Linked DNA regions of Caenorhabditis elegans. The protein of the gene in region 1 purifies or fractionates together with the protein of each later gene. This does not show direct contact. Each region holds a gene or a part of one and is shown on either strand. Other genes may lie near its edges. The genes, in order: unc-108 and gdi-1.

Region 1 (16,444 bases):
ATTTCTGATAATTCCGGCAACTAGACGTTGATCCTCTGACTTCATTTTCCGCGTGTAATTCTTTTTCAGTGCAAACTTTGAACTCAGCAGAATTTCTCCAACAATTTCGCGAAGGGGAGCTGAAAATAAAAACACGATTTCGAATAATGAAAAGAAATAAAAAGAAATAAAAACTAACGAAAAACATCCATCTGTGTGTTGAGCCAAGTAAGAAGGGAGATCGAAAAATTCTGAAGCGCGAAAAGCGTGGTATCCATAACCTTAACACTTAACGGTAGATTATGATTCGATGATCTTCGAATTGACGTTGGATCTCGAGCTGTTTTTCTCTGAACATCATCCTTAGCTTTGGTGCAATCAGCCTTACTGCCAAGTTTCACAGCACTTCGACCTTCTCGATCGACAATTGTGGCTACAAGCATCGCCTGATCCTTTGTACAATGTATGTACAATTCCAGAACTTTGATCACCTGGAAAAAACGGGGAAATTGAAGATTTAATTGAAATTCGGAATATTAATTACTAACAGATTCATAAGTGTGAGTTTCATCATTGTAAAGAACCGTCAAATATTGCTGTGCCTCATTTGTAACCTCTGGCTTCATTTTCTCGAAAATTTCGGGAAGTTTGAGATCATCTTTATGAGTGATCATTGAAAGGGAAAACTGTAAAATGATTTCCACCAGCTGTTCACATCGTTTTTTCAATTCTGGAGCCAACACTGCCGCCTCTTCATCGTCCTTTTTCTCGTGATTTGCACATGCGTAACCTTCTGTCCATGCATCTGCATCACCACAGTCACAATATCCCGAACCGGAGGAAGAGTGCATCTGGAAATTTTTTTTCAATTATAAATTGGATTTACTTAAATATGCGTGTTTTATCATTCATATTCGCTCAAAATAATCAAAAACTTTTCAAGATTTTGTCTATGTTGGTTTAAAATTTCGAGAAAAAGGGCAAGTTTCGGCTAAAATCTGAATGTTTTTTTTCAGAAATTTTCTGTGGAAATTGATTCATTTTGAGGCATCCTCACTTTGTATTTATGAGATTTATGAATTGAAACTTCAAAACACTGAAGACACATGACACATGTCCCATCAGTGGCACAATCCAGACATGTATACGTAAGTTCTCCGTTTTTAAATACATGGCCACAAATTTGTCCCCGTCTTGCAGGATCAACTCCGGCAATGCCATTCATTGCTTCCAGTGTGCTCTTTGTGTTCCGAACGTCTAGTACAAATGCACTGACCAGTGGGGCTAGGAGAATCTCTCCTTGGGAACCTGAAGCAAAATTGGCTTTTTAATATATATGTTTTTTTTTTCAAAAAAACCCACCTAGAATTCGTTCATTCGCGGCTGTATTGTCCCATGGCAAATCCGAATTCACTTCGAACACCTCTGGGACCTGTACAAGCCAGTGCTTGAGCAGCAGCTGGCGTACTTGGGCCCATTCACCCTGTCGAGCTGATTGTATTAAATCGACAATCATTCCATTAGTCGAACTGAAATCGGTAGCTTGATAAAATAGGAGCATTTCATCTAAGAAAAAGAGGATTCGTAAAAGAAAATAAAATATATTGATTATTTTCCGACCCCCCGATTATGCTGCTGATGACCATATCAAAATAAGCGAACGAGAGGACAAAAAGCAGTGATGGGAGGCAAAAATGATGACAGTGGACACTAGGAGAAAGTGAAGGAGATGAGAGAGAACGGGAGGATATAGATTTGCTTCTCTCTCTCTCTGTTTTCGATGCGAGAGTGTTGCCGCAGATAAAGAGCTCTCACGGACTCGGTGCAATGCATCGTGGATTAAATAATTCAACAATGAGGAAATTGAACTATTAAAAATATTGATTATTTTTACGTGTCAGCGAATTCACTGGCGAAGCAATAAAAAAAAACTTTTTTTTAAAATCAGACTTTAGAGCACGTGGACTTTGAATGTTTCACTCATATAACGTCAAAATAATTTAAAACTATATTTTAATAAAAGTTATTTGACTTTAAAAGCAATAAAATATACTTTTTCACCGAAAAAATAACTGATTTCGCGAAAAAAAACAATCTAAAAAAATAAAAATAAAACCCTTGGGAAGTGGATCGTGGCGAGACCCTGAAGGTGAGGCATGCGCCTTTAAGTGTTCGGACTACGGTACACAAATTTCTCTTTTTGTTTTCAATTTCCTAATTTGCGTGGATCGCTGAGAGTTGTTAGATTTTTGAGTTTGTATATAGTTTTCTTTTTTATTTTCATCAAAAATTAAAGTATTTCTTCGTGAAAAGTACTTGGTCAGCAGGAAAAAAAGGTTCTCCCGCGTTTTTACCCCTTTGTGATAGAAAACTTTGCATATTCAGAAGCTTGCTCATCGTTTCGATGATCGAGATCTTTCTTCACATTTCATAACTTTTTTAAAATATCAGTATAAAAAATGGATCAATATTATAAGTTGTAATCGAGAAGTTAGAATAGCAATAGAAACCACAAAGACATTCGGGCCCAAAAATATTTATATTTTCAAACTAACTGCAGCACATGAAATTATCTTCGATTTTTCTCCTTCACGCCGACGTCGCGTGCTCCTCCCAGCCGCCGGCCTAGTCTGCGGTGTTTTTAGGCCATCATTTTCGCGCGACCACCAAATCATTTTTCGAATCTCGACGCGCTCATTTGTGCACTCAAATGACTATTTTCTGCCTCTCTGTCGTTTTCTTTTTGTCAAATAATATTGCTGCCCTTTAAAAATATTAAAAATATCATTCCAGATCAAATGTTTGGAGGATCTGCACCAAAACCGTCGATTTTCGGAGGAACCGCTGCTACCACAACAGCCTCATCTGGATTTTCTTTCGGTAATTCGAGCACATCAACAGCGAACACAGGTATCGATCGATGAAAAATTCAACTAATTTATTTTTTTCGTTTTTAGGCGGAAACACGAATACTACCGGAGGTTTTTCTTTTGGATCCGCACAGCCGAGCACTGGAAGTACTGGACTTTTCGGAAACAGCACAGCTACTGGTAGGTTTTTGGTTTAATAAACTTGTAAAATACGCTCCCGTATTCAAAAAGTATAATTTTAAATTTTTCAGGCTCAATGTTTGGAGGCTCCTCTGCTGCAGCTCCAGCCCCAGCGTCTGCTGGAATCTTTGGAAATTCTGGTGCCGCGGCGCCAGCTCCCGCTTCAACGAGCATTTTTGGAAGTTCTGCAAATTCAGCAGCACCTGCTACAGTAACGTTTGGCGCAAGCGCACCATCAGCTGGTGCTGGCATGTTCGGAGCTAATAAACCAGCTGCTCCAACTGGCGGCTTGTTCGGATCATCCACAAGTACCGCAACAACTGCACCAACTGGCGGGCTTTTCGGTAGCTCAACTGCTGCGCCATCAAGTGGATTATTCGGATCCACGGCCGCTCCAGCAGCACCAGGAGGACTATTTGGAAGCACTTCCACCTCTACAGCGGCTCCATCCGGCGGCTTATTCGGATCTTCAGCTGCTCCAACTTCCACAGCCCCAGCTCCTTCTGGTGGTTTGTTCGGGGCTGCACCAGCTACTAGCAATGCTGCTCCAACCTCTGGATTATTCGGAAATTCAGCACCTGCTGCGACAGCTTCATCTGGTGGACTATTCGGCGCAGCTCCAAAGCCTGCAGCTCCATCGGGAGGTCTTTTTGGTTCTACCGCTCCTGCAACCACCGCTGCAACTACAACTGCCACATCAGGATTGTTCGGAGCACCAACATCTGCTCCTTCGTCCGCTCCAGCCACTGGTGGTCTTTTCGGAGCCTCTACTGCTCCCGCCGCTGCTACTGGAGGTCTTTTCAGCATTGGTGCTGCTTCAGCATCCACTCCATCTGTTGGATTGTTCGGTAATTCTAGTGCTTCTACAACCGCTGCGGCAGCCCCTGCCACCGCCCCAGCGGCAGCTTCAACTGGAGGATTGTTCGGAGCCACCACCGCCGCAGCCGCAGCACCAACCTCATCTACAACTGGGGGATTATTCGGATCTACCGCCGCTGCTCCGGCCGCTTCACTTCCAACCGGAGGTCTCTTCGGATCGTCAACTCCTGCTAAGACCCCAGCCGCACCAACAGCAGGACTCTTTGGAGCATCATCGACAACCACCACATCAGCTCCAGCTACTGGATCTTTGTTCGGAACAGCTCCAGCAACCACAACAGCTACTAGTGCAGCTCCAGCGGCTTCTACTGGAGGATTGTTCGGTGCTTCATCCACAACTACGCCTGCTTCTACAGCTCCGACTGGTGGATTATTCGGAGCAGCAACCACAACTGCTCCCGCCGCAGCAGCTCCGACTGGTGGCCTGTTCGGGGCTGCGACTACAACTGCACCAGCAACTGTAGGTCCGACCGGTGGATTGTTTGGAGCAGCAACTACAACAACACCTGCTACTGCCGCTACATTGGGACAAACTCCATCTACAGTGTCAGCAACTCCATCTCTTCCAACCACAACCAGCACTACTTCCACTCTTCCAAAGCCAGCAGAAGCTACTCCAACTCTTGGACTTGGCCTAGGGCTCACTTCAACACCATTGGCTAAGGGAACTGGGTACATTTTGGTTTACTTTTTAAAAATATAAAAAAAACTCTTAATTTCAGATGGACAACATCAGGACTTAAAGGAGCTGCAACTACATCTGCAGGCCTGAAAATTGGTGCAAGTGGAAGCGACACACTTTCTGAAGAAGAAATCAAAGCAGGACTCGGTGGAAATGATACAAAAGCCTTCTTCACCGCCCTTCAAGAAGTTGTCAATAGTTATCATTCGGAAATTGCGAAGCAGGAACGAGTATTCCATAATAAAATGCTCGAGCTTAATGCTTATGACCGTGAGCTCATTACACTCGAGCCAAAAGTTTTAGGATTGTACAATGAGATGGATGATTTGAGTGGAAGCTGCAAGAAACTGCATTTCAACGTCGCCTCCATGACTTCTGTCTTGAACGATATTGAGCAAAATGTTGTTGAGCTAGAGAACAAGCTGAGCCTTCCAGAATGGCATACTCTTGATTACAAATTCCCACTTGATAGCAGATTTGCGTCGAGACATGATGTTCAGAGAGTGCAAATGTACGTCAAAGTTATTGATTTTTAATGGATTAAATTTTTAAGAAATATATTAAATTTAGCTAAAAACTTCAGTTTTCCCAACTTTTTCTTTGTAAAAGCCGATGGAAATTGATTTTTTTTCATATATTGCCCTATTTGGCATGCTTTGGTTGATTATCTCACGCTGTTCCGTTGATTTGGCTCGATTTGCATCCAATTTTCGTAATTTTTGAATAGCTATCGACTTAAAATATGACTAAATTAACGAATTAACGCCAGATAAATAATCAAAATATGCAATAAATCGGGATAATTCGATAAAAACTATATTTCAGCCGCTGCGACAAAGAAAAAGTTGACAAAATTTCGCAAAATCCTGCCATAAAACTATCAGATTTTTTTCTTGTTGAGAGTTTTTGAATATTTAAGCAAAAAAATCCACAGGTTTTTTTTAAAATCATAATAACTAAAACTTTTTGAAAGCATTTTTTTTGTTTTTTGTTCCGAAAATACTTAACACAATGCAATCGACAGTCTTGAAGACGAAAGAAAAAAAGCAAAAAGCGACAGCCCTGGACCTTACTCCCCTTAAAAATCAAAATAATAATTTCAAAAAAAAATTCCAGCGCTCAAATGATGCTCAACGTGGATTCCCAAATGAAATGTGCGGACTTCGATCTCGATCAAATCACCAAGTCACTTAACACAATGCAATCGACAGTTTTGAAGACGAAAACCGAGACCCCGCTGGAGAAAACTGAGCTTATTATGAAGAAGCAGCTGCAGAAGCTGATGGATCTCTCCACTCAACACGGTACTAATTTTAGAGTTTTTAATCAAATTATTAAATGTCAATTTTTATTTTACAGATGCTACTCGTGATAAGCTGAACAAGCTGAAGGATGACCACAATCTGAAAACGAACAACTCGTCGAAGGCCTAGATTCTTACTTTTTATTTATATATTCATTTTTTCTTTAAATTGAAACTCTAATTCTTTAAACCTATACACTTTCACCTGTTTTCTTCATGATCACCACCATCACACTATTTATTTTTTTTGTTATTGTCTGTTTTGTTGTGTGTTTGGTTGAGTTTGTGAATGAACTTGTTTTTAAAAAATATTGATTATATTTTGGTTTTTTTTTTCAAGTGTTTTTTAAAATTACACTGATATATTTTATATTTTCTTGTTTGGAAAATATTTACTTGTGTATTTTAACTCTACATTTTAAAATTAAATTTTAAATATAATTAATTGTTTTATTTCTTCATTTTTTTTTTTTTTTTGGCTTGGAAAATTTTATTTAACTAAAAAAATTAACATTTTAATATGTGGCCCAAGTTATACCCAAGTATTTACCTCTTGCTCTTTAAATTTCAACGAATTTCGTTGAATTTCCCCCATTTGCGGGGGTCACTATTGTTATCAAAAGATCCTTATCATAGTTTTTGATGCTCTAGAAATTTCTAATTGCTTTTCCTTGTGATTTTGAAAACGTTTACAGTGATGTTTCTCTTTTTTGATTTCATCAATTTATCTTGCATCCCTAGGAGCTCCTAGTCAAATGTTAGTATTTTGTGATTTTTGAAAGTACGGTAGCTGCGAGATCGATCGTTTCGAGACTGGAAACCCTACTTTTCATCAAATATCGTAAGATTCCTCGAAGGAGTAACCACCTGTATTGAAAATCGAGGGTGTCAGGTTTTCAATTTTTTGCTAAAATCGAAAAACTAAACTTTTCTTAGAAATAAGTTTTTTAATTCACCAATTTTTGTTTTTGATGTTGATGAAAAAATATATTTACGAAAACAATTTTTAATTTTCTTTTCAAAAAATAATAAAAATAGCCAAAATTTAAAAAAATTTTTTTGATTTTTAGTGGAAATTCAAAAACCGACACCCTTGATGTAAAATTTCCCAACATTGAAAAAGAGTGATATCATTTTTTCCAAATTAGTATTCGTCAAAGTGCAAAAATGCTCTCCGTCTCTTCTCAACGTTGTGTCGTCAATAGTGCTGCTCATTCGCAATTGTTGCTCTCAGAGAGCAGAAGTGGAGGATTATTCGTACACCTGAAGAGACTATATTCCCGCATTCTTTCCTCTTCGTCTTCTTCTTCTTCTTAACCGAAAAATTCGTCAAGCTTTCGCCTTGCTCATTATGCAAAATCTGTTTGCCCCGAGGTCCGGCTAAATGAAGGATCCGAGTGTGTTTTCGTTGAAGATGTCTTTCTTCTTTTCTGTTTTCTCTCTTTTTTTTCTTCTCCAGCTCCACGTAATTGGTGACTCGAGTAGAACTCTATAGCCATTCAGTCTTCTCCAACATCGTCTAACAAAGCCTCTCTTTCAGCTTCTATCTTCTCTCTCTCTCTCTAGTTGACGTCTTCTACGTCTCTCTCTCTCGTTTCAATCTCACTAACCCCCTATTCACGTGAATTCAGCGTCGTCGTCGTCGTCGTCTTCTCTACCCGTGATTCTCGTGACTTCACATAAGCACAATGTCTGCGCCTCCGCTATACGGGTATGATGATAGTCCAATAAGGAAGAGAAGCTCTCTATTGCAGAGTTGAATCTTTTGGGCTAAGTTTATTAATATGGCCATGCACCAGCTTTTTTTTCACATTCACTTCTCTTGTTAAGAAAATTTGAGTAAAATTCGAGTAAAATTACGACTTTTGTAGAATCTGCTATTTTAATTCCAGTGGCCTAGATTTTAAGCATATAATTTGAAGTTTTTAAAACTTTTTACCGATTTTTACTTTTAAAGTTAAAAAAAAAATTATTGATATAATAGTAGGTCCTAAATTATTACGATGTATGCTAGGTCTACTAGCTCTTCTGAAATGAATTTCCACAAATTTATTCGATCATTCCAGTGAATTGGAACTTCCCTCTCAATTGAGACTACAATAATTTGAACATCGTTAGTTATGCGATCAATTAAAGGGCGAAAGGATAACGCATACACTTTCGTTTGCCCGATGTAGATAACAGAAAAGCCATTAGTTGAGAGGCGTCAGTTTCATTATAAACTTCGTAATTCACTTCTGTTTCATAGGCAGTTGCAATGAAGTGATCGTACTTTAGATTTTTTTTTTCTAATTGAAATAATTTCTCCAAAAGCCCATGACCGGAAATCAATTTTTGAAATTTTCATCTGTCGCACACTCTCTTTTGCCAATTCTGTTTGGCTATATATATATGTGTGTGTGTGGTTTTGTGCATGGCTACGAGGGGCTCGACCCAATTAAACAGCACGAAAGGGAAAAGGAGTCCCTCTCTTTTTCGCTCAGCTTTCTCTTATTCCCGATTCTAGAGAGCCGCGCCCCCGACATTTGACATGGAAGAAGAAGAAGAAAAAGAAGAAGAAACATATGAGATCTCACGAGCGCACATCTTCTGAAATGAATTCCAATTGCACCTTCTTATTCGTGTTTCCTGCCAGCAGACTACTTTATTTCTTTTTTTTCTGATCTATGTGTCTTAGAATCTGAAAAAAATTTTTGTCCATATCTGGGCGAGACCCATGGAAATTAATGTAATGTGCCTTTAAAGGAACATGAAAAAGAAAATCCGAAAAAAAATTGAATTTGCAAAAAAAGATATCTCCAAGAAGCCTATTGCTCATTTATTTTATTTTGGCAAAATTGAAAAAAAAAAACATTAACATTTTTTTTTAAATTTTCAAGCAGTTATATTCGGTCATTTAAACTAAAAAATTGTGGCTCTACTCCACCTTGAAATAACCACAATAGTAAGTACAGTAGTTTCATTAAAATAATTTACATTTTTTGGCAGCAAAAAAAGTCTGCTCCCAAATAAAACCCAGACCCGCCGTTCATCACTTGTGTTATTCTTTTCTCGAAAAAAAACGACTCGATCCATTCGTTTTCAGGATATGCTTCTGTGTGTGTATGTGTGCAAAACGAAGAAGCACGTCATCCGAAATAAATAGTCACACATCTCTTTGCTCCCATTTTCCCTCTCTTTCTCTGGTTCTCTCTATCTCTCTTCATCTCTCTTGTTATAGACGCAGAGATAACCCTCCGCTCACAACCACGCTCACGAGACACTCACCACGCGCTCACTCTCTTCGATTTTTTGGCTGTGTTGGTGGTGGCGGTGGCAAGAGAGAGAGAGTGAAAAAATGTGAAAAAAAGGCATGGGTTCCTTGGAATATATATGTTTGGAAGAGGTTATATTGACTTTAACTAACTTTTTTTGCTCAAAAATTTTGCTCTTTTCTGCTATTTTCGCCAATTTTATTTGCTTCAAAAATGTTTTCTAACATGCTGGCCGAACTTTTCCCTATTTCTTATCCATCTTCATCATATGATTCGACCTCATTTCGTAACTTCCTTCACTACGCTCCTCAGTCATGAGGAAGTATTGATTGGTCTGCCTCGTCCACACCACGTCATCAATTTTCCAAAGTTTATGTTTTTTCAGTGTGTGTGTGTTCTCTTCTTCTATTACTTCTACCACCTTTCTCTCTCTTTTTTCACTTTTTTGAGCATTTTCCGATCAATCAATAATCGATTAATCAATTAATCAACTTCCAGAAGAATGTCATATGCCTACCTTTTCAAGTACATTATCATCGGGGATACTGGAGTAGGAAAATCCTGCTTGCTCCTTCAGTTTACCGACAAACGTTTCCAGCCAGTTCATGATTTGACGATTGGTGCGATTTTTAAATTTTATTCAAGTTTTTTTTTCAAAATAATTATTTTCCAGGCGTCGAATTCGGAGCCCGTATGGTGACAATTGACGGAAAGCAGATCAAACTTCAAATTTGGGACACAGCCGGACAAGAATCATTCCGCTCCATCACTCGTTCCTATTATCGTGGAGCCGCCGGAGCTCTTCTCGTCTACGACATTACACGACGCGACACATTCAATCATTTGACATCTTGGCTTGAGGATGCCAGGCAGCACAGTAATTCCAATATGGTTATTATGTTGATTGGAAATAAGAGGTAACATTTTTTTAAAATATAGATTATTGGTTTTTAATATATCGAAAAATAGGTTAACTACTGTTGAAATTCAACGATCGATCCTTGAATTTTGAAAATAAAAATTTTCGCCGGTTTTCCACTGCATTCTCATTCGAAAAAAAAGAACAAAACTAAAAAAATAGTAAAATCGAAACCTTTTTGATTAAAAGCTGTGAAAAAAAGGAGAAAAAACAGTGCCACTGGGTTGCGAATTCACGCTCCGCATCTCTTTCTGTGTGAAGTGTCAAGTTGCCTTTTGCAAAATTCAAGGATCGATTGTTCAAAAATTTCTCTACAAAATCGAACAATTTATAGAAATTTGGTTTTCCAAATAAACACATTTTTATTCAAAAAAATAAAATAAATGTTTTCAGTGACCTGGAAGCCCGTCGCGAAGTGAAACGTGAAGAGGGAGAAGCATTCGCACGAGAGCACGGACTCGTATTCATGGAGACATCTGCCAAGACGGCTGCCAACGTGGAAGAGGCGTTCATCGACACTGCCAAAGAGATCTACCGTAAGATTCAAGAAGGCGTGTTCGACATTAACAATGAGGCAAACGGAATCAAGTTGGGACCACAGCACTCTCCAAGCTCACCAAATTCTCCAGGTGGAAATGCGACGGGAGGATTGGGCGGTGGATCTGGATGCTGTTAATTTTTGATGATGTTTCTTTGAATGAGCTTTGAATGTTTTAACTAAATCGTTTGAATACCAATCTTTTTTATGTTTCCTCCTCTTTTCGAATGTCGTTAGGCACTTTTCTAGTCTCCTTTCTCTCTTCCAGAACCATAATTTTACTTTACATATATATTGCAATTGTCTCTTATTACTACCATCATTTACTGTATATTGTCGCCTGCTTTTTCTCTTTCTCCTCTCTTTCTCTATTTTCTCTCCTTTTCATTCAGTCTCTCACCAATTGTGTGAATATCTGAAATTCCTGTGATTTTCCACTCAATCCATCAGAACAACATGTTGTGAAAATCCCGCTCTCTCTCCCTCATTTCCTCTTAAAAGTTTGTATGTAAGCTCTACTTCTTTTTTCCTTTTCTAATTCTTTCCATTTAATTACTATACGTCTCCAAGCTATCAAAATTTTCAGTGAAATAAATGAATTTTATGAGCGTTTCGTCGAGGATGGAATATATTTTTCTTAAAGTTGAAGTTCTTTTTGATTATTTTCTACAGATTGATTGATAAAAGATTGAATTGATAAGAATATGGGGAGAGACGAAAATTTAGAAGAAATTAGTGGCAAGATTTTTTTTTTGGAAACTTTACAAATATGGTTTCTTAGAAGATGCGAAATTTTTCGATTTTCGTGCCAGAAGTACTGTACCAGGTCTCGACACGACAATTTTTGTTTAATGTGAAAAGGTGCGCGCCTTTAAAGGGTACTGTAATTTCAAACTTTTGTTGTTGAGGAATGTTCTTTTTTTCATGTGCTTTTATTGTTATATTTTAGTTTTTTAATCGAAAAAAATTAGAAAAATCTATGAAAATTTCTCAACAACGAAAATCTGAATTTACAGTACTCTTTAAAGGCGCACCTTTGGTTTTTTTTTGCAAAAAAATATTTTTCGCTTTTTTCGAAAAAAATGTGCGAACCTGTCGCTATAATTGAAAAACTAGCATTTTTTAAAAATATTCTTACCAAAAATAAAAATTTTTTACCAAAAAAAATCAGACATCGATGACTCTATTATGTTCTCTGAACATTGGTTAACTTCTGATCTCTTTGATATTTTTTCTTCTTAACAATTTTCTCATTTCTTCTTTTTTCTTCTCTTCGCAGATTTCGAAATCAAATTTAATTTCTTCATTTTCAGCCCCACAAATACACCTCAATGGGCCCACATCGTCTCCTCTACCAGGCTCTGTGCAAAGCCGGAGATAAATTTGTCTATCCGGTGCTTCCAGCATTCGCCAAGCCGGCTTGGAATCATGCGGCCGGTCCGAAAACTGTATTTTTCTGGGCCCCAACCATCAAATGGACTCTTATCGGCGCTGGACTCGCTGATTTGGCCAGACCTGCTGATAAGCTTTCTCTTTATCAGGTAGGGATTTGTGAAATTTGTTTTCTGGTCCCGCAGCGAAAACTGGAGTGATAATTTGGTGTGTGTGTGTGCCTTTAAGGTTACTGTAGATGTATTGATTACATATTTTTAGAGGTTTTTCTCGTTGTTTTCTTCTCGTTTGTTTTTCTTTTCAAAATGAAGATAATCTCTACAGTAACCTCAAAGGCGCGCGTGGCGAGACCATTCCGCATAAACGCGTCCTCCTTGAAACTCGTAGAGGTGGATACATGAAAATGAGATAAATTTCTAACTAATCTAAATTCTAGTGTTTTCTTCTCGAAAACTACCGAAAAAAGCAATATAATATGCATTAAAATCTAAATTTTTCAGAACTCTGCTCTCTTCGCCACTGGAGCCATCTGGACGAGATATTGCCTTGTCATCACCCCAATCAACTACTATTTGAGTAGTGTGAACTTTTTCGTCATGTGCACCGGGCTCGCCCAGCTCTGTAGAATTGCACATTACAGGTATATTCAAATTTATTCTATTTCCCTGCAATTATGTATAAAATTTAGGTATCAAAATCCGGATTGGGAGACGAAGGAGATCATGGAGACCCATAATTAAATCCATAATTTTTCAAGATTTAGGAACGACAACGAGTGATTTGTATACAGGCATACACAATACATACAATAAAGATTTATAAATATGAATAAAATTTGAATTTAAACCCTTTTCTTCGATATCATATGTGGATTAACTCTTAGAAATATTTTTATTTTTTAACACAAGTTGAGCTTCGAACTTCCCTAATAACAAAACACTAAGCTTCCTGAATGTCGGAATGCGGTGTCCAATGTATTCTATCAATAATCGTTGTTGGATTTGTGTGGGGAGCTACTAATCCATTGCTCAGAGCAGCCTCAAAAGATCTGGAGAACAAAAAGAATGGAATAATCCTGGGATTTTTGAAATCTTTTCTCAACTGGAGATTCTCAATCCCTTTCGCTCTTAATCAATCTGGATCGGTGAACAAAACACATTGAACAAGTTATATAGAATAACAATGTATTTTAGGTAATGTTCAACGCTCTTGTTGTAAACTTTCCTGTTACTGTTGTTGTTCCGTGTGTGAATGCGATTCAGTTCATCGCAACAATTACAGTCGGGTGGTTGATGGGAGAGAAAATGCAGGTGTCCACAAGGAAGCAGAAAATTGGAATGACCATTTCATCGTTGGCAATTATTGGAATGCTGATTATCGATTAAATTAAATGTGAAAAAAAACGTTATTTTCATGTAAAACGCACTTTTTAGACGGAAAAAGTCAAATTTTCAGCCAAAATTTTGCTGAAATTTCAAAGAACCATATAAATCCGATTTTTTGTATTTGGTGAGGCTCACACTACCAACTACAATCAATTTTAGTCTCTAAATACCATTGCTCTGGTTGCGTGTCTGGAAAATCTCAAAGTTTTCATTTTCAGGATCGAGGAGACGCCGGAGTTCCACCAAAACGAGCACGCCACGGAAATTGATGCACAGAATCTCAATTTGTTCCCTTTATTCACCTAATTTATAGATTTTTTTTCTTAAAATTACAATTTTTATCGCTTTTTCTGAATTTTAACCCCCCAAAACATCAAAAACTCGTCGATCTCTGTAATGTCCTTCCCGATTCCCATGATATTTAAATGTTTCCTCCTTTTTTGATGTTTCTTCCCCGATTTTTCCCGAAAAAAATACAATTGTAACTTGTCGACAAATACGTGTGTTATCGATTAAAGTTTTATTTATCGATTAAATTCTCTCTGTGAAATTCGTTTGAATAATAATTTATTTGCCTTTCTTTCTTGAGCAGTTTTTGCTTTTCGGGTTTCCTTTTTTCAGAAAATAAAAATATTTTTTATAATATTTTGAATTGAATCAACATTAGCTATAGCTATAGCTTCATCGATTTGTTGTCCAAGAATCAGAAAATATTTATTTACAAAATGCATTAATGATATCATCTGACGAGAGACTGTGCGAAAGTGAGAGGTTCAAGACACTTTCGCAATAAAGCGTGTTTGCATTGCCGCGTTTTTCTTGAATTTTTTTTATTTCGGTCGAAATATTCCTTAGTTTTTCTCCTTTTAAACGAATTTCAGTTCATTTTTCACACGAAATTTGCTCCGCGTTGTTCTCTTACAATTTTCTACGATTTTTGTGTAATCGATTGAAAAGTGTAACTCGATAATTAGCGCGTTTTATCAGATCCCCAATATCTCAAGCTCTATTCCCAGAAAGTTTAATGATTACGAAGCGAAGAACATTAAAAAAACTCGTTTGCTGACCACCACGGTGTCATGTGACCACTTTTCTTCCGCGACAGCCTTCGAAAACACGCCAAAATAGAAGAGCGCGGAATTGTGATGCATGCTCTCGGAGCCCCCGCTTCTCTGCTCTCTGGCCCCAAGTCTGCGTCTCGATTCTCTTGGAAAAATTTCTTTTTTTCTCTTTTCTATCACAAGCCGCCCGCACAATTTTTTCCTCTCGGCTTCATTTTCCAATCAGTCACCAGATTTTTTCTTAATTGTCTTCTGCCCTTGTCTGCTGTTCAGGATGAACTTTGTTCGGGAGCTTCTGCGGAAATTCATAATTTTCAAAGACTTCCAGCTTTGAAAGTTATCTTTTAAGTAAAAAATCAAAAAAAAATCTAAAATTTCGCAACTTCTCTCAACTCACACTCACGTGCCAAGGTCATTCACACTTTCTCTCGCCAGTAAAATCAAATTGTGATAAAAATAACTTGATAAATTAAATATTCAATTATTTAATATTATTTTTAAATTTAAAAAACTATCAAATTTCTTCGTAATTGAAAACGGCTGACGGTATACCGATCTTATATCGCGACCTCCCTCCTTATCAAACGCCAAGTTTCACAAGCAACTTGCCATTTGTCTTTTAAAAATCACTTTGCCTTCTTTCTTATCTTTTCCATAGAAATTTTTTTTGCGGAGCAGATTATTCTAAAAATCAATCAATTTCTAGCATTTCGCTCCTATTCATTTTTCTTGTGACCGGAAGTTAATTCAATTTCTATTTAGAATCAATCAAAAACCTTGTGTTTGTTACGCAATGCTCTTTTCTGAATTTCGTTGTTTGTTCCCCATAAAAATAAAAGTTCTAAACACCATCAAAACACCGGTGTTCGTGTTTTTCGGTCGCTTTTTTTCGATTTTTGAACTGTGTCTGTTGCCGCCTCCTTCTAGGGACGAACGGAAAACAACTGACTCTCTGACATCATCACAGGATATCTTTAAGAAGCTGCTTCCCTCTTTTTCTTTTTCTTGTGTGTGCGTTATTCTAGAAAATTCAAAAAGTTTGTGTGACGTCGTTCCTCGTGACACTCTTCTTATCATTTAGAACTGCTTGCTCTATACAGTTTTCTGATTACAAGTCATCTCTTTCTTTGTCTACTTTCCTAATTCTGACAGGCATTATTAGCATTTTCTATAGAAAGAACATCACATAACGATGGTTACGTGGAAGTTTAAAGGTATTTCAACAGAAAATCGATAAATGTTGAATTTTTCCACGCATCAAAATCAATAAAATAAAATTATATTGTGTCGGTTATCTTACGTTTCGTATTCTCTTCCTCCTAATTTCTCCATTAACACCATCAATCAATCCAATCAATAATTTTTCCAAATAGAATCCGTGCCCCGTCGTGCTCGGATTTGAACTCGATACCTTGCGTGTGAACTACTAACACAAATCGTCTTGTTCCGTGCACTCCAAGGGAGAGAGTGTGCATGGAAGCTTGCCCGAACTGTCCCCAATTCGTCCAAGATTCCCTCCGCCGAGGAATCTAACGAGTCTTCCATACCGCCCTTAAGTGGCGCTGTGAGTTTTTTTTTGTAATATTTGAATTCTCAGAAAATAGTTGTTTTATTACAGGTAGTCGATCAGATCTCTAAGATCTACGCGGAGCCTCAACTTCGCGCCAGTCAAATCCAACTCGACAAGAACGCCGAGCCACCTTGGGATCCAGATCCGAAAGCCTGAGGTTAATACAGTGAATTTTCTTATGTGCTTCTACGAGTTTACATAAGTGCAAAACGGTGTTGTCACGCTCGTCGAATTAATTTAAAATATTTGGTGTGCGCGCCTTTAAGATTAATGTACAGATTTTTCTTTCAAATCTCAGCCGATTTTTCTAGTGTATTTTATAGTTTTTGTGTTATTTATTTATTTAACTGAAATAGATAGTTATTTGCACACAAAATCTTAACAGTAATCTTAAAGGCGCATACATCAAATATTCTAGATTTCGCGCACGTG
Region 2 (14,911 bases), on another chromosome or scaffold:
TCTTCCTCCTCGCGCACTACACACCATCTTCACAGTTGACTTGAAATTGAGTCTTCTCGACGAATTTCCTTTCTTTTTTGTTGAAAAAAGTGTTGATCCAACCCAATTCAATTCGATTTCCGGTGCCCCCTTGGAATAATTTTGGATACAAAGCTTTCAACTCTTCTGTTCTGTTCTCTATTTCCCTATTTTGCTCGCCGTCTTCTCCTCCTCCACCCGTCCGGCTTCTCCTCTTCTTGGACATTTTATCGATTTTGTTCTTCTTCGGTGTTGTGTCTCTCTCTCTCTCCCCCCCCCCTTTTCGATGTGTGGGCCAACACAACAATCCCCACATTTCTGCGTCTCGTGTTCTCACCCTCATCCGGTTGTGTCTGCGTCTATGGCTTGTAGGTTCTCGAACTTTCAGTTCTAGATGTCCTAGACTTCAATTTTGAAGGTCTCAACTGGATATTATTACAGTTCGGAAGTCTTGAATAATACTAGATCCAACCCAGATGTCCTCAGATGTTATTTGATCTCTCCAGTCTCTCGCCGTCGCTCCCTTCTCTCAGTCCATTTTGGACGCTCATTTCGACCGCCATCCCGTTTGGGGTTAACCGCGGAGAGAGTGAGTGAGAAAGGGAATGAGCGCTCAAATTCACTCTCACTCACACTCACACGCAGCAGCATCATCTCGTAGACCCTCTCTGGTTGTTGCTGTCTCTGATGACAAACATTCCCTAACTGGGCGCCCCTGTGTTCGTCGTTGCCACGTGTCATTCTATGTCGGCGATTCGGCCATTTGAAGCTCGATCCACGTGTCGCTAGGACAGCTGACGTCATCTTTTCAACTATTATGTTTACTGCGATTATACGAATCAATTGGTGAAATTATTTAGAATAACCTATTTTTTGAGTTGTTTACGATTTTGAAGTCACTTGACTGAAAACTTTCACAGAAAAGGTCTTAAATGAAATGAAACTCTTGCGTAGACTTGATGAAGTTCTGTGAAACTCCTACGTACTCTTGAATAGTAATCGAAAATTATTGATTTCTACTTCCAATCTACTCAAAAGTTAAAAAATATTTCGCAACACATCTTTTCCCCATTCTTTTCTGTATTTTTTAGCAATTTACCTTAAAATCTTCAATAATTCCAGCCTACGATGCAGTCGTCGCTTCGGAAATTGTCGAACACGTCGCCGATCTTCCCGGATTCATTGGCTGCCTCGCTGAGCTGGCTCGCCCCGGTGCCCCGCTCTTCATCACAACTATCAACAGAACGTGGCTGAGCAAATTGGCAGCTATTTGGCTTGCAGAGGTTTGATTTTTTTCTTTCTTTTTTTTTTGGAAATAAATTTGAAAATTTTCAGAATGTACTCAAAATCGTGCCGCCCGGAGTCCACGACTGGGAAAAATTCATCACACCCGCCGAGCTCACTTCACATCTCGAAAAAGCGGGTTGCCGGGTGACGGCGGTGCATGGATTAATGTTTCATCCGGTTGGAAATCACTGGACATGGATCGAATCGACTCAGTGTAATTACGGAATTTTGGCAGTGAAGAATTAGATTTGAAGATTTTTTGTTTAGTGTTGCTAGTTTTTTTTTCATGTTTCCATATGTTACTGGTGCTATTTTTTTTAATTTTCAAAAAAAAAAATAATTTGAGACCTAACTCTTTTAAATGTCAAACAATTGGGTTTGATCTACCCGCAAAATATCTGATTTTCAACAACTTTATTCTCTGCGTCTCTCCCTCCCTCCCTCTCACTCTCTTTCTTCAGTTTTTATAATTATTTTCTTGAATTCTAAAATTTCCTTTTTGAAATTCAACTTTTCTTTCAGTTTCTCTTTCCCCGCAATTTTCCAAATCACAATCCGATCAATTTTCAGGAGTTCCAACCAATTCCCCGAAAAACTCGCTCGAAATGGATGAGGAATACGATGCCATCGTTCTCGGAACCGGCCTCAAGGAGTGCATCATCTCGGGAATGCTGTCGGTTTCCGGAAAGAAGGTTCTCCACATTGACCGAAACAACTATTATGGAGGAGAGTCAGCTTCACTGACTCCACTTGAGCAACTCTACGAGAAATTCCACGGTCCACAAGCCAAGCCACAACAGGAGATGGGACGTGGACGTGACTGGAACGTCGACTTGATTCCAAAGTTTTTGATGGCCAACGGGCCATTGGTCAAGCTTCTCATCCATACTGGAGTCACTCGCTACTTGGAATTCAAGTCGATTGAGGCCTCGTTCGTTGTGAAGGGTGGAAAGATCTACAAGGTGCCGGCCGATGAGATGGAGGCTCTTGCCACTTCCCTTATGGGAATGTTCGAGAAACGTCGCTTCAAGAAGTTCCTCGTCTGGGTGCAACAATTCGATGAGAACAAGGAGGACACTTGGCAAGGACTTGACCCACACAACAGCACAATGCAGCAGGTTTACGAGAAGTTTGGCCTTGACGAGAACACCGCCGATTTCACCGGACACGCGCTGGCCCTCTACCGTGACGATGAGCACAAGAATCAACCATACGCTCCAGCTGTTGAGAAGATCCGATTGTACTCTGACTCATTGGCTCGTTATGGAAAGTCACCATACTTGTACCCATTGTACGGATTGGGAGAACTTCCACAGGGATTCGCTCGTCTCTCGGCCATCTACGGAGGAACCTACATGCTCGACAAGCCAGTCGACGAGATTGTGATGGAGAATGGAAAGGCTATTGGAGTCAAGTGTGGAGATGAGATTGTCCGTGGAAAGCAGATCTACTGCGATCCCTCATACGCCAAGGATCGTGTCAAGAAGACTGGACAAGTTGTCCGAGCCATTTGTTTGTTGAACCATCCAATTCCAAATACAAATGATGCTCAATCCTGCCAGATTATCATTCCACAAAAGCAAGTTGGAAGACATTATGGTAAATTTATAGTCTTGGAAAAGCAGCGCGTCGCACAGAAAAGAGGTAGGGCGTAATTTTGCAATCTTGCGGCACGGGTTTTTCCTACTTTTTTTGTTAATGTTTGAATGAAAATATTATCGAATTTAATTATCCGAAGACTAAAATAGTCTCACGATCCTATGAGAATTAGGTAAAATTGAAACTTTATTGAAAAATAAATTAAAAGGAGGAAAAACCGAGCCGCCGGTTTGCCAATTTACTCTCCGCCTCTTTTTCTGTGCGACTCGCTGCTTTTTGCAAAACTCACGCTTTCAGCATCACTAATTCCCTTTTTTTCAGACATCTACATCTCATGCTGCTCCAACACGAACATGGTGACACCAAAGGGATGGTATTTGGCAATGGTCTCCACCACTGTCGAGACAGCCAATCCAGAGGCTGAAGTTCTTCCAGGACTTCAACTTCTTGGCGCAATTGCCGAGAAGTTCATTCAGATTTCCGATGTTTATGAGCCATCTGACTTGGGATCTGAGTCACAGATCTTCATCTCTCAATCTTATGATGCTACGACTCACTTTGAAACCACTTGCAAGGTAATTTAAAGAATTTAAAACAATTTTTGAAAGAAATTATAATTATTCATTTTTCAGGACGTGCTCAACATGTTCGAACGTGGAACGACCAAAGAATTCGACTTCACCAACATCACTCACTTGTCGTTGAATGATCAGGAATAATTGAATATCCATTCCCTTCTTTTGAGTACTCTGATTTGACGCTTCTGATGCTGCTTTTGCTCTTTTTTGTCGCCTCTATAAAAAAAACGATTCCCGTTCCGTTTGTTTCTCCTGTCCAATGTTCATTTTCAACCGATTTTAATTTATTGTATTTTCTCTTTTCCAGTCTCTATCCTCATGTGATTCCCCGAGAACCCTTTTTTTAAATTTCAATTTTCGTCCCGAAAACAAAATTTCTTCCCACTATTTCCTTTGTATTTAACTTTACAATTCCCAAACAAAGTCCGCTTCGTAAATCTATAAATCACTTTATCCTTTTGAAGTACTTCATTACAGAAATACAATTATTATCACGATCAGAAAGTTTGGATAGGATGGGATTACATTTGATGAAGGGAGATCATTTCCATTTGAAAATTGGAGAAGAATAAGCATATATGTTTTTACATAATTGATTAAAGAAAAAATCCCAGTTTAAGCCATCACAAGCAGAGCATCGAGCTGATCATCGACACGTTGCATCATCTTTTTGTACAAATCCTCCATATTCTCGAGCAATGCCATTTTCAGTCCGAATTGTAGAGACTCGTCTTTAGCGAGAAGAGCACGTGTGACGACCGCATATGTTTCACAATCGTTGCGAAAAGCCTGAAAAATAGAAAATTTGACTCAAATTAGTCAATGAGTAACTTGAAAACTTACCGATTCGAGTTGCTTCTTCTTAATATGGAAACGCATCATTTGCTCATCGTTGAGCTTCGCAAGCTTCAACTCCCTCACCATCGCCTTCTCCTCGTCCGCCGAGTCATCTTCAGTGGCTAGTGATGAGAGACGGAGAGTAGAGAATCCAGCTGAAATTATATATTGTTTTTCGAAAAAGCCCCCGCCGGTTGTCAATGGTTACCTTCGTCTTCTTCCTTTCTCGCTGGCGGCTCATACTTGACAGTGGAGAGGAGAGCAGATTGGAAGGCTTTGAGATGACCAAAGAGTCTGGAAAACATTGATTTTTTGAGGGAAATATTAAAAATTAGAGAATAAATATTAGTTTTTCAGGGAATTTCGAAATTCATACTTATTCGTGTTGGGGTGCATTGTAATGTCGGGCATACTTGAACCACCACTGATAGCAGACCCATTCATAGCAACTGGGTGAGCAGCGGCAGAAGCAGAAGCAGCAGCAGCTGAAACCACTGGAGCCGGCAGAGAAGAAGGCATAACTATTTCGATTCTGCCAATTTGACGGGGCACAAACGCAGGTTGGGGCGTGGTCGGTGGTGGTTGTGGTGGACTAAAACGGATTACACAAACGTGAAAATTTGCCCCGCGGGGAATATGGTACCGGGTCTCGACACGAAAAATTTTTGTTAAATACTTACAAACAGGTGCGCACCTTTAAAGAGTACTGTAGCTTCTAAATTTCCTAGCAGTGCTTTCAATTGTTTTTCTCACGATTTGTTAAAATAAAAAATGATTTTCAACAAAAAATCGACAAATATTTCAGTACACTTTAAAGGCGCATACCTGTTTGTATTTATCAAAAAAAAAAACTGTCGCTTGGAGACCACGAACCGTATTTTTGGAGCAAAACTCTCAAAAAATTTGGCGTCTGGGTAATGAACTTACGCTGTAGGGAGTTGTGGTGGTATTGGTTGCTGTTGTTGCTGTTGTTGCTGAATAGGTGTAGTGGTATAATAAGAATTGACTTGAACTGGCGGTTGAGCAGGTTGTGGGGCTGAAAATTCAAAAATTGACACTAAATAGATATCGAAAAATTTCAAGAAAAGCTTTTATGGCGGTTCCAAAAATTTCGAAAAAATGGGCCAATTTTAACTAAACCCTGAATTTTCGGCAATTTTCCCTGGTCGCAGCGGTTATAAATTCATTTTTTTGTTCGATTATTGTTTTATTTTACAGATAAAAATCTATTTCCGGCCGTTGTGACTCTTGAAAATCGGCGAAATTTCAGATTTGAGTTAAGAAATAGCCCTTTTTTTGAGAAATTCCTTTAGTGACTCCTCTTACTCTCTCTAACAATCATCTTCGGAGTTGCTTCAACTTCCATTGGCACTGAATAGGATACTGAAACTGGACTTGCACCAGTTCTGATTTGATTATATGTGTTGTTGGATTGCTGGTACTCATATTGATTATTGGAAACATGTGGAGGACTTTCCAATTCCATATCATCTGCCGTCGGTGGTGGAATGAACGATGCAGATTTTGAAGCTTTTGGAGTTGGTGGAGCTGGAGATGGCGATGCTGCTGCTTCAGTTTTCGGTGGAAGTGGGATTTGAGGAAGCTCTTCCTTCACACTCTTCTTTGGTTGAGTTTCTCGTACATCTTTCCGATCATCATCTGACAACTCTCTACGTCTCTTCTGTCGTGCTTCATTATCTTTGACTCGAGACTTCTCATCAAACGATTCATCGTCGAACGAATCAACATCATCCGATTTTCTCGAGTGAGCACTGCCCGATCTTCCCGAGCTACGAGACCGGCTTCTGGTATTCGATCGGCTTCTCGATCGATTCTGACTTCTACTACGATGCCGAGAGACTCTTCCATTTCTAGATGCCGGCGACTTTGATCTAGACACACTTCTTGAGCGGCTTCTCGATCGGCTTCTCGACGGACTTCTGCTTCTAGATCGGCTCTTCGATCGTCCTCTTCTCACTGGTGGCGACGCAGATCTCTTCGAAGACTCTTGTGAATCAGAACGACGACGGCGGCGTTGACTGTTGCTTCGAACCTGCTTGGCACGCTGATAGGCACAATAACGACGTATATCACGGAACCAAGAGAGATCACAACGGCATCCCATGAATTCACGATCCGAATATCTGAAAATGGAGAGGGTTGCTTTGAATTTCTTATTTTCGGCAATTCTACAATATTTTATTGAAAAATAGTGTCAAAATATATAAATTCACACAATTTATCTAAAAACACCATTCTTTTCAGCTGAGAAACTAGAAAAAAATGGAGCAATAGGCCATTTTATAGAATTTCCGCCTATCCCTGATCCACTTACGTCTCCATAAACTCCTTAGCCTCATCACGATTCTCAAATCGAACAGCCACGAATATCTTGCTCTTATCTTGAGCCACTTTCACGAAATCGAACGAGATTTTTCCAACTTTTTCGCCAATATATTCCCTAAAACAGGCATATAATTAAAAGGGCAGTGTGGGAGAATTTCACAATTTCGTGGGGGGCCACAACTTTTTTGGAGTCTGAAAATGAATTAGGTATGTTGAATATAGAATAGCTCGTGCATTTGGTGTTAATTCAAAAGCATGAGAAATATATTCCATTTGAGAAAAAAGAGACGGGGGAAAAAGAGAAAGAGATGGGTGGGGGGTGTCACACACTCGAATATATATATTGATATGTAATACACTCACAATGTGAAAACTGGTGGAAAATTTTAGAGACTTGTAATTGTAATTGTAAATCATTTGTTGCAAAATTCGTTGCAAAAGAAAAGACCGTATCCCACAGCGCGACATCATCAAATTATTTTAGAATGAATTAGAATTAATGTTGGGTGTGTGTGTGTGTGTGTGTGTGGGAAAATAATCTCCCTGTAGGTAATAATCAACACATAGTAGGATAGAACTCTCTTTTCCGACTGAAATATAATAATGATTATACTGATTATTGATTTGGAAATTTAAATATCTGAAATGATTTTGAATAGAAAACTTGGCAAAAAACTTTCAATCAAACATTTTCTCTCTACAAATAGCCTACTTGATCTCTTCCGTCGAAATATCACCATGAAGTCCTCGAATAAAAATCGTGTGCTTCGACTGAGGAACTTGCGTCTCATTGATTCTCGGCAAATTGTTGTAGTGATGATGATGGTTATTGTTGTTGTTGTTGTAATTATTGTGACGGAAACCTCCACCGCCACGATGATTGTTATATCCATAGTTGTTATTGTGATACATTATTATTATAGGTTCACTGGAATAAATATATGCACTGTATCAATATATATATATAAAATAAGAAATTAATAGCGAGAATACTTCTGAAACTGGGGAGGAATTGGGGGCACGCACACACACAGCGATAGTAAAATACTAACAGCAACGACGGCCAGTCGCCTTTCCATCCCCAGCACAGCACATCGAGACGGATAGATAGAGAGAGAGAGATTACATAAAAACGAGAGAATCATACGAAAAAGAGAAATAATTTAGAGAAATAACGTGGTAAACGTGGATGGTGAGTAGAATGCAAAGAGTGAGAGAGAGAGAAATAGATAGGAGACGAGAATACATTCGAGGAGAAAAAATACGCAGAACCAAATAGTATTTATTAACGTGGCGTTTTGGGACGCTACAAAATGAAATTGATCGGTGCAAATATTGCTTTTGGCGGGAGATTTGAATGCAATATTTGGAAAAAAAGATGACAGAGAAATTGCTAATACTAAATTTTTTCTGGAGTGAGAAAGAAATTCTGATAAAAAGTTCCAGCAATAAGTGTAGAAAAAAGTTTAATAGGCATTTTTCGTTTTTAGTTTCAAAAATACAGTAGCTGCAGGTCTCGACACGACAACATTTTGTGACATGAAAAAAGACGCGCGCCTTTAAAGATTACTGTAGCTTCAAACTCTCATTGTTGCAGAATTTTCATAGATTTTTCAGGAAAATGTATGTGTTTTAGTGTTATATTCTTTAAACGAACACACATACTTTTGGGAAATCGATGAAAATTCCAGATCAACGAAAGTTAAAAATTACAGTAATCTTTAAAGCCGCACACATTTTTTTTTCCTTTACCAAAACTTTGTCGTGTTGAGACCTTCGCACAAAATTTCGAATTTTCTGCTTTATAACGAGGTACAGTACCCCACGAGGAATGAAATCTGGCAAAGTCAATCCTCAAACTATTCTATGAAACCACTGTTCAATAGAAAATAATTTCTGCGAATGGAGGAACGTTCTATATATTCAATTCCTTCTTTATATCTCGACCAAAATCTCCATTTTAAAGATTTTCATCTTCGCGGTGGGTGACCCATTTTCGGAATTACTGGCACGAAATGTCGATAAGGAAGAAGAAGACGTGAATTTGGAGAAAAAAAATACATACTTAACAAAAAAAACTCAATAACTTATAAGCTGAGAGAAATAGGATTAAGAGTAGTTGAAGAGCTCAGCGCACATAGAAAGAAGGTGACAATGTGTCTAATGAGAACTGGTGGAATTTGTGAGCCGACTCTCTTATCAAAGTGAAAACGAAAAAGCTGTGGCAGAGCTTTCAGGTGAAAAATGAAAAACGAAAAACAAGCCAACCGTTAATTATTTTTACTTGTGTTGGCGTTGTGTGCGAGTGTTGACATATACGCGGTTTCCCGTGGTTACACTGCCTTCAAACAAACTGAATAATGTGACGATTTATGGCTTTTTAGGAAAGAACGACTGCTGGTGGAAGGGGACAATGCACAATATGCTTTTGACTTGCAAATTTTACAATCGATCAATTGGACGCTGCTAGAGCAGATTCTCTAATTGGATCGATTTTATTGCAAGGTTCGCAACACATTGTGTGGCATTGCTTATCGAGAAGGAGTGTACGTATTTTAGTTGTCAAAAATACGAAGTGATTCATCATAGTGGAAGAACCATTGCAATACCTGCACTATCGATAGTAAGTAGTGATAATGAAGTATGTAACGAAAGTGAGTGTATATTTGCAAAGCGGAAGAAGGAATAAGAACGGACGAACTGGGGTCCAAAATAAGTATTTTTCGGATAATTTTCACTGTAACCGTATGCTAAAGCCTGTAAAAATGACCCCACGTGGTGTCAGGCTGTCTCATAGCGGTTTGATCTCCAAAAAATGCGGGAATTTTTTCCCAGAAAAATTGTGACGTCAGCACGTTCCATGCGAAATCAGACGAGATGTCTGCGTCTAAATTCCTGCATTTTTTGTAGATCAAAGCGAAATGGTACTTTCTGACTCCACGTGTGACCCGGTACCAAGATACTACGAGGAAGTGAACCCGAGAATGCACTGTAAATAGGGAGCAAAAGCCAAGATATGGGCGGAGCCTATTTCTCGATTTTTTGTAGGTCGGAGACGGCAATTCAGATCTTCCAGATTCAAAAAACGAAACTTGGAAAATCTGAACGTTCAATTTATGATTCATACCAACCTATAAGCCCAAACTACACACAATTTCCAAATCCGAACTTCCAGCTCAAATGACGTCACTTTCTGCTTCATAACTACTCCGAATTGCCAAATTTCAACTCATCTTATTATGGAGCTTTATAAAATCCGGGTCGTTTCTCTCTCCCATTTTCCAATTATAGATTCTATTAGATTACGACGGCAAAAGTTCAGCGGTGCGGGGTTAGAGAGAAGCTGACATTTCATGGCATCAATCCATCATCGAGAGGTACTGAATAGGCTCAGACGGACCGTGACCACAGAAGATGAGAGGAGGAGTGGATATAGTCGAGGAGAAGAATTTCGATCAGTTTGTGTGAGCCCTAAGGTTCTCAGTTCTCAGTTTTCATGTTTCATTTTTTTTAATATTACGAGTTTTTCAAAAATGTTTTCTTCATTTTGGTACTTAAAACATTAAACTTAATATAAATACTAAGTTTAAACCATGCCTACGTGCAAACTCGACATCTATAGTGGTCCTTTAATGGGAGGAAGTGACATATAATTATTCATTTCTGCTCCCAAATATCCAAATTCGTCATTAATTTTTTAGCGAATAGTTTTCTACGAATTTTTTCTTATTCCAAAAAAAAAATATTCGAAAACAAAGCATTCCACCCTCAACTTGATTCATTGTTTCAAAACCAATAAGTAGTGCAACGGTCTAGATCGAAATGTTCTATTCTATTCCCGACACTCTTCTAAACCATATGATTCAACTCTTCCAGATGCCATCACCTTCATCTCTACTGGGCTCCCTGCTCCTAGTGTGCGCCGTTTTGACCATCACTTCCCGAGCCTCCTCAATAATGACAGATGACGTCGAGCCGCCACAGCTTCTGACACGTCAGCTAAGGGTGAATTTTTGGGGACGGGTGGTGCGGAGTCACGTCCTGCAACTAGATTTTAGCATTTTCAGAGTTTCCCTTACTCGGTATCGTTCTATCGAATGTTAGGACACGATCGTCAGTTGAGACCCTACTATGGGGTTAATGATGAGGTGAGTCTGAGGAAAATAGTTGGACAGTCGTTTGTTATTGTATCTTTGTTGTATCCTAGGACGCCACTTCAAAGGTACACGTAGTTTTTCTAAGAGGGTCTCGCCACGATCTCAGACAGACTGGCCGCTACAAGGGCTAAATTTCACAGAATTGTTCAGTAGATGTTGGAATACTTTTGAGTATACAAATCGTCTCGAAGCTCCCGAATTTCAGGTAGCTGCTCTGATTGACTCTATGAACAGCGATAACGTGGCAAATGAAGACGTGTTCCCAACGAGACCAAGAAGGAGTGACGGCTTGAGAGGTTCGTTTTACTGGGCAAGGTTCGTAGTGTGCCAACCCGTGCTTGTGATATAGTTTTGGCTGGCTGGCTTCTAACCTACCGTAACCCCCATTTCTCATTTTAGGATACGCCTGCCGCTTCAAATTCTGTAGAATATACGACGCTTGATGGTGACGACTTACTATTCTCAATCATCAGTTCCCTCCTTGTTTCTGCAGTGTTTTCCAACTCTCTTTTTTTTAAACAAATGTCAGTTCGCCCCCGTCTTCCCCCGTAAAATTTATAATTCTAAGCATTATCGAAATAAATATCCAAGAATTGTTTATGGATTCGGATTCATAATAGTTCACTTTGCTTTGTTCGATTTAATACCATCGCTAGCTGGAGAATGTGAAGAAGAGAGAACCTTGGACTTGTTACCGCCCATTTGAGCTTTGAGCTTCTTATCCCGGAGCACAGCCTTCTCACTCTGAATCGATTCAATATCTCTGCAAGAAGAAGTTGAATCTTTTGTCTAGAACAATAAGAAATCCCCTACGCCAATGTCCTCTCATCCGACTTTTTCGCAGCTAGTGGAATGTGTGGAGGTGCGACTCCAACCGGAAAATCATCGTTCGTCGGTTTGGATCCAGAACCCGACGACGTTGCGGCTGCAACTTTTTGAACACCTGGTTGCACGAGAGAAACGTCTCTTTCCGAGTTTTTCTTATTACCCGCACAAAGAAAGACGGATAATACTGCGAGTGTCTGGAACAATGACAATGTAACACGAAAACTTCAAAAAATGAAAACGAACCAGAAAATTGATTTGAAAGAGAATAATACTAATCATTTTGCATCAAATCAGACGACGAAATGAATCGAAACCGTTATAGAAAGAGATCTTTGCCGCCTCAAAAAAAATTAGAACGACACGAAAATTTACTATATCTTTAAATTTAAATATTTTTAAATAGCCTCCAACTCAAAAGCACTAGTTCCATTTCCACTGTATTCCTCGCTCTTTCCACCCATCAAATCTTGCTCAATGAGCACTCTCATCCGTTCCAGCTCATCCAACGTGGCGTCTCTACACAGCATCTTGTACCACGGATCGCTCGCTGTGCCGATATTTGGCGTGATTTTGTGAAAATCTATCAAAAAATAGACAACGGACAAGGCGATCGTTTCATTGGAGACGTGTGCGGTTCGAACCAAATGACTAAAGTCGTGGAGCACAGCGAGAGCACTGTCGAGCACTGAAATAAATAAAATAAATTATTTAAAACTGGTTCTATATTCAATTCGCCTTACTTTTATATTTTGCGAACTCGACTGGATTCACCGCTCGAATGTAGTCGAGATATAAAGCCAGAATCTGAAAGTAAAACAATTTTAATTTCTTCAAAGAAATCATCAACCTACCCTCCACGCGTCATCATGATTCTTGCATTTTACAGAAGCTGGGAATGCAAAATTTTCAGCAACCGCGTGATACGTGTCGGTTCGCTTGAAACTCGACGACTGCGGCGTGAAATTTATTTGAGTCGTGTTATCCTTTATAGAATCGGGCATTTGATCAGGCTTCTTTTCATTTTTTGTCGCTGATCCGGTACCATTTTCCTAAAAAAATTCGAAATTTGCCCAAAATTCAGTTTGGGCAACCTACATTTTCCTTCTTACCGCACATAACAAGCACCAATGAGACGGACAGAACGTTGATAGAAATGAGAACGAATAGAAATGGCATTTTTTGTGAACAAAAACTTTAGAAATGATGGAAAAATGAGAAGAAAACGAACAATTTTGAGAGAAAACCAGACTTCCACGTTCACCCCGTAAATTCACAGCGCCTCAGAGCGGGATAGAAGAGAGAAAAAAGTGGTTTGTGCGCGCGAGCGCGCTTGCAGCGCCCCCACGAGAAATTTCCACGGTGGTACACACTAGTGTCGGATATTTACGTGAGAGTGGTTGTAGCTATACAAAAATAGAAAAAAGGGGAAATTCTATTTTGGGCAAGGAAATTAATTGAATTCAAGGAATTGTTTTTGTGATTGCAAACTGAATTCAAATCTGAAATTTTCGCGCCACACTTGGAAGTGCGAGAGAGTGTACTGATAAAGGAGACGCAGATATATCATTTCGCACAACGCCTCAAATCGGGAGAGTTGCGAAAATTGAGATGTGAAAAGTCCAATGGAGCGCGCTTGCACATTTTACCGTATCCTAAAAATATGACTCTAACCATTCACCTAAAATAATGACTCTAACCATTCACCTAAAATAATGACTCTAACCATTCACCTAAAATAATGACTCTAACCATTCACCTAAAAATATGACTCTAACCATTCACCTAAAATAATGACTCTAACCACTCTAACGTCGTCGTCATCTGCTCCACCGACCAGCACACAGAGACGCTCGAAAAACGAGAGAAGAAGAGGTTGAGCGACAAGAAACGATGGGAGGAATTAAATGATGCAGCGAAGGAGGTATGTTATAAACGTATTCAATTTATGATTGGAACCTAATTGTTTCAATTATTCAGGTGGTTCGAGCTAATGCACGAGAAGCGACAGCAAGACGCAGGGCTGTTCGCGATGCAGGCCTTCCAGCGAATCCGAAACGCTCGCCACGATATTCTCCGCAACCGGACCCTGCCTCTTCATCAACTTCTTCCACGCCATCATCCACATCATCCTCGCCGCAGCCATCGTCGTCGTCATCCACTCCACTGAGTCTCTGTGTGCTGGTCGGTGGAGTGGATGACGACGACGATGGCTGCGGCGAGGATGATGTGGATGATGGCGTGGAAGAAGTTGATGAAGAGGCAGGGTCCGGTTGGGAGAATATCTTTTTGTTTTGGGGTAGGTTTCCACGGCGGCCGACAATTTCCGAGTTTCGCCACTCACTATACTTAATCAGCAATTTTATAGTGAGTGGCGAAAACAGATTTCAAATTAATGCGCCCGACAGGTTCGAAAAGCAAACGCGCTCTGTTGAACACCTTCTGCGCGCGCATTCAAATTTAGTTTTTTCTTTCTTCCAAATATTTTTATACGGAAAGTGATAGTTTCACACTGTATTTGCAAATTTTAAAGACAATTTTTAACAAAAAAATTTTTTTTAATTTTTAAAAAATAAATTCTCAAAAAAATTCCGGTTTTTTTCAAATTCTAAAAACACTGATAAGACTCCAAAATATCATAAGGGTCCCCCCTTATGAACTGAATCTTCAGCTCCAAAGGATCACAAAGGTCCCCCTTATGAACTGAATCTTCAGCTCCAAAGGATCACAAAGGCCCCCCTTATGAACTGAATCTTCAGCTCCAAAGGATCACAAGGATCCCCCCTTATGAACTGAATCTTCAGCTCCAAAGGATCACAAGGACCCCCCCCCTTATGAACTGAATCTTCAGCTCCAAAGGATCACAAGGATCCCCCCTTATGAACTGAATCTTCAGCTCCAAAGGATCACAAGGATCCCCCCTTATGAACTGAACCTTCAGCTCCAAAGGATCACAAGGGTCCCCCTTATGAACTGAATCTTCAGCTCCAAAGGATCACAAAGGTCCCCCTTATGAACTGAATCTTCAGCTCCAAAGGATCACAAGGATCCCCCCTTATGAACTGAATCTTCAGCTCCAAAGGATCACAAGGATCCCCCCTTATGAACTGAATCTTCAGCTCCAAAGGATCACAAGGATCCCCCTTATGAACTGAATCTTCAGCTCCAAAGGATCACAAGGGTCCCCCTCATGAACTGAATTTTCAGCTCCAAAGGATCACAAAGGTCCCCCTTATGAACTGAATCTTCAGCTCCAAAGGATCA

Evidence for each region.
Region 2: the proteins of unc-108 (region 1) and gdi-1 purify together in Caenorhabditis elegans (affinity purification with western blotting, with the first as the bait; one study listed by BioGRID). This does not show direct contact.

Annotation. Positions count from the first base shown.
Region 1 is NC_003279.8:3,815,302-3,831,745, forward strand, and holds unc-108 (Ras-related protein Rab-2), read left to right. Parts: upstream 1-7,581; coding exon 7,582-7,604; intron 7,605-9,645; coding exon 9,646-9,767; intron 9,768-9,820; coding exon 9,821-10,064; intron 10,065-10,459; coding exon 10,460-10,742; downstream 10,743-16,444. Other genes in the region: E3 ubiquitin-protein ligase ubr-1, read right to left, coding at 1-119, 179-470, 528-830, 1,037-1,287, 1,342-1,495; npp-11 (Nsp1_C domain-containing protein), read left to right, coding at 2,778-2,889, 2,937-3,029, 3,101-4,580, 4,631-5,101, 5,707-5,894, 5,950-6,023; mpc-2 (putative mitochondrial pyruvate carrier 2), read left to right, coding at 11,936-12,145, 12,497-12,636, 12,685-12,736; F53F10.8 (Transmembrane protein 234 homolog), read left to right, coding at 12,949-13,140, 13,190-13,381.
Region 2 is NC_003282.8:14,779,850-14,794,760, reverse strand, and holds gdi-1 (Rab GDP dissociation inhibitor), read left to right. Parts: upstream 1-1,910; coding exon 1,911-2,949; intron 2,950-3,225; coding exon 3,226-3,479; intron 3,480-3,536; coding exon 3,537-3,623; downstream 3,624-14,911. Other genes in the region: coq-3 (Ubiquinone biosynthesis O-methyltransferase, mitochondrial), read left to right, coding at 1,141-1,301, 1,354-1,551; melo-1 (RRM domain-containing protein), read right to left, coding at 4,098-4,271, 4,326-4,474, 4,528-4,613, 4,696-4,911, 5,247-5,355, 5,646-6,463, 6,655-6,780, 7,378-7,577; nlp-56 (Neuropeptide-Like Protein), read left to right, coding at 10,542-10,670, 10,733-10,813, 11,028-11,171; Y57G11C.1130 (uncharacterized protein), read right to left, coding at 11,444-11,585, 11,636-11,844, 11,894-11,929; Y57G11C.8 (Cyclin N-terminal domain-containing protein), read right to left, coding at 12,046-12,335, 12,391-12,454, 12,502-12,699, 12,746-12,826.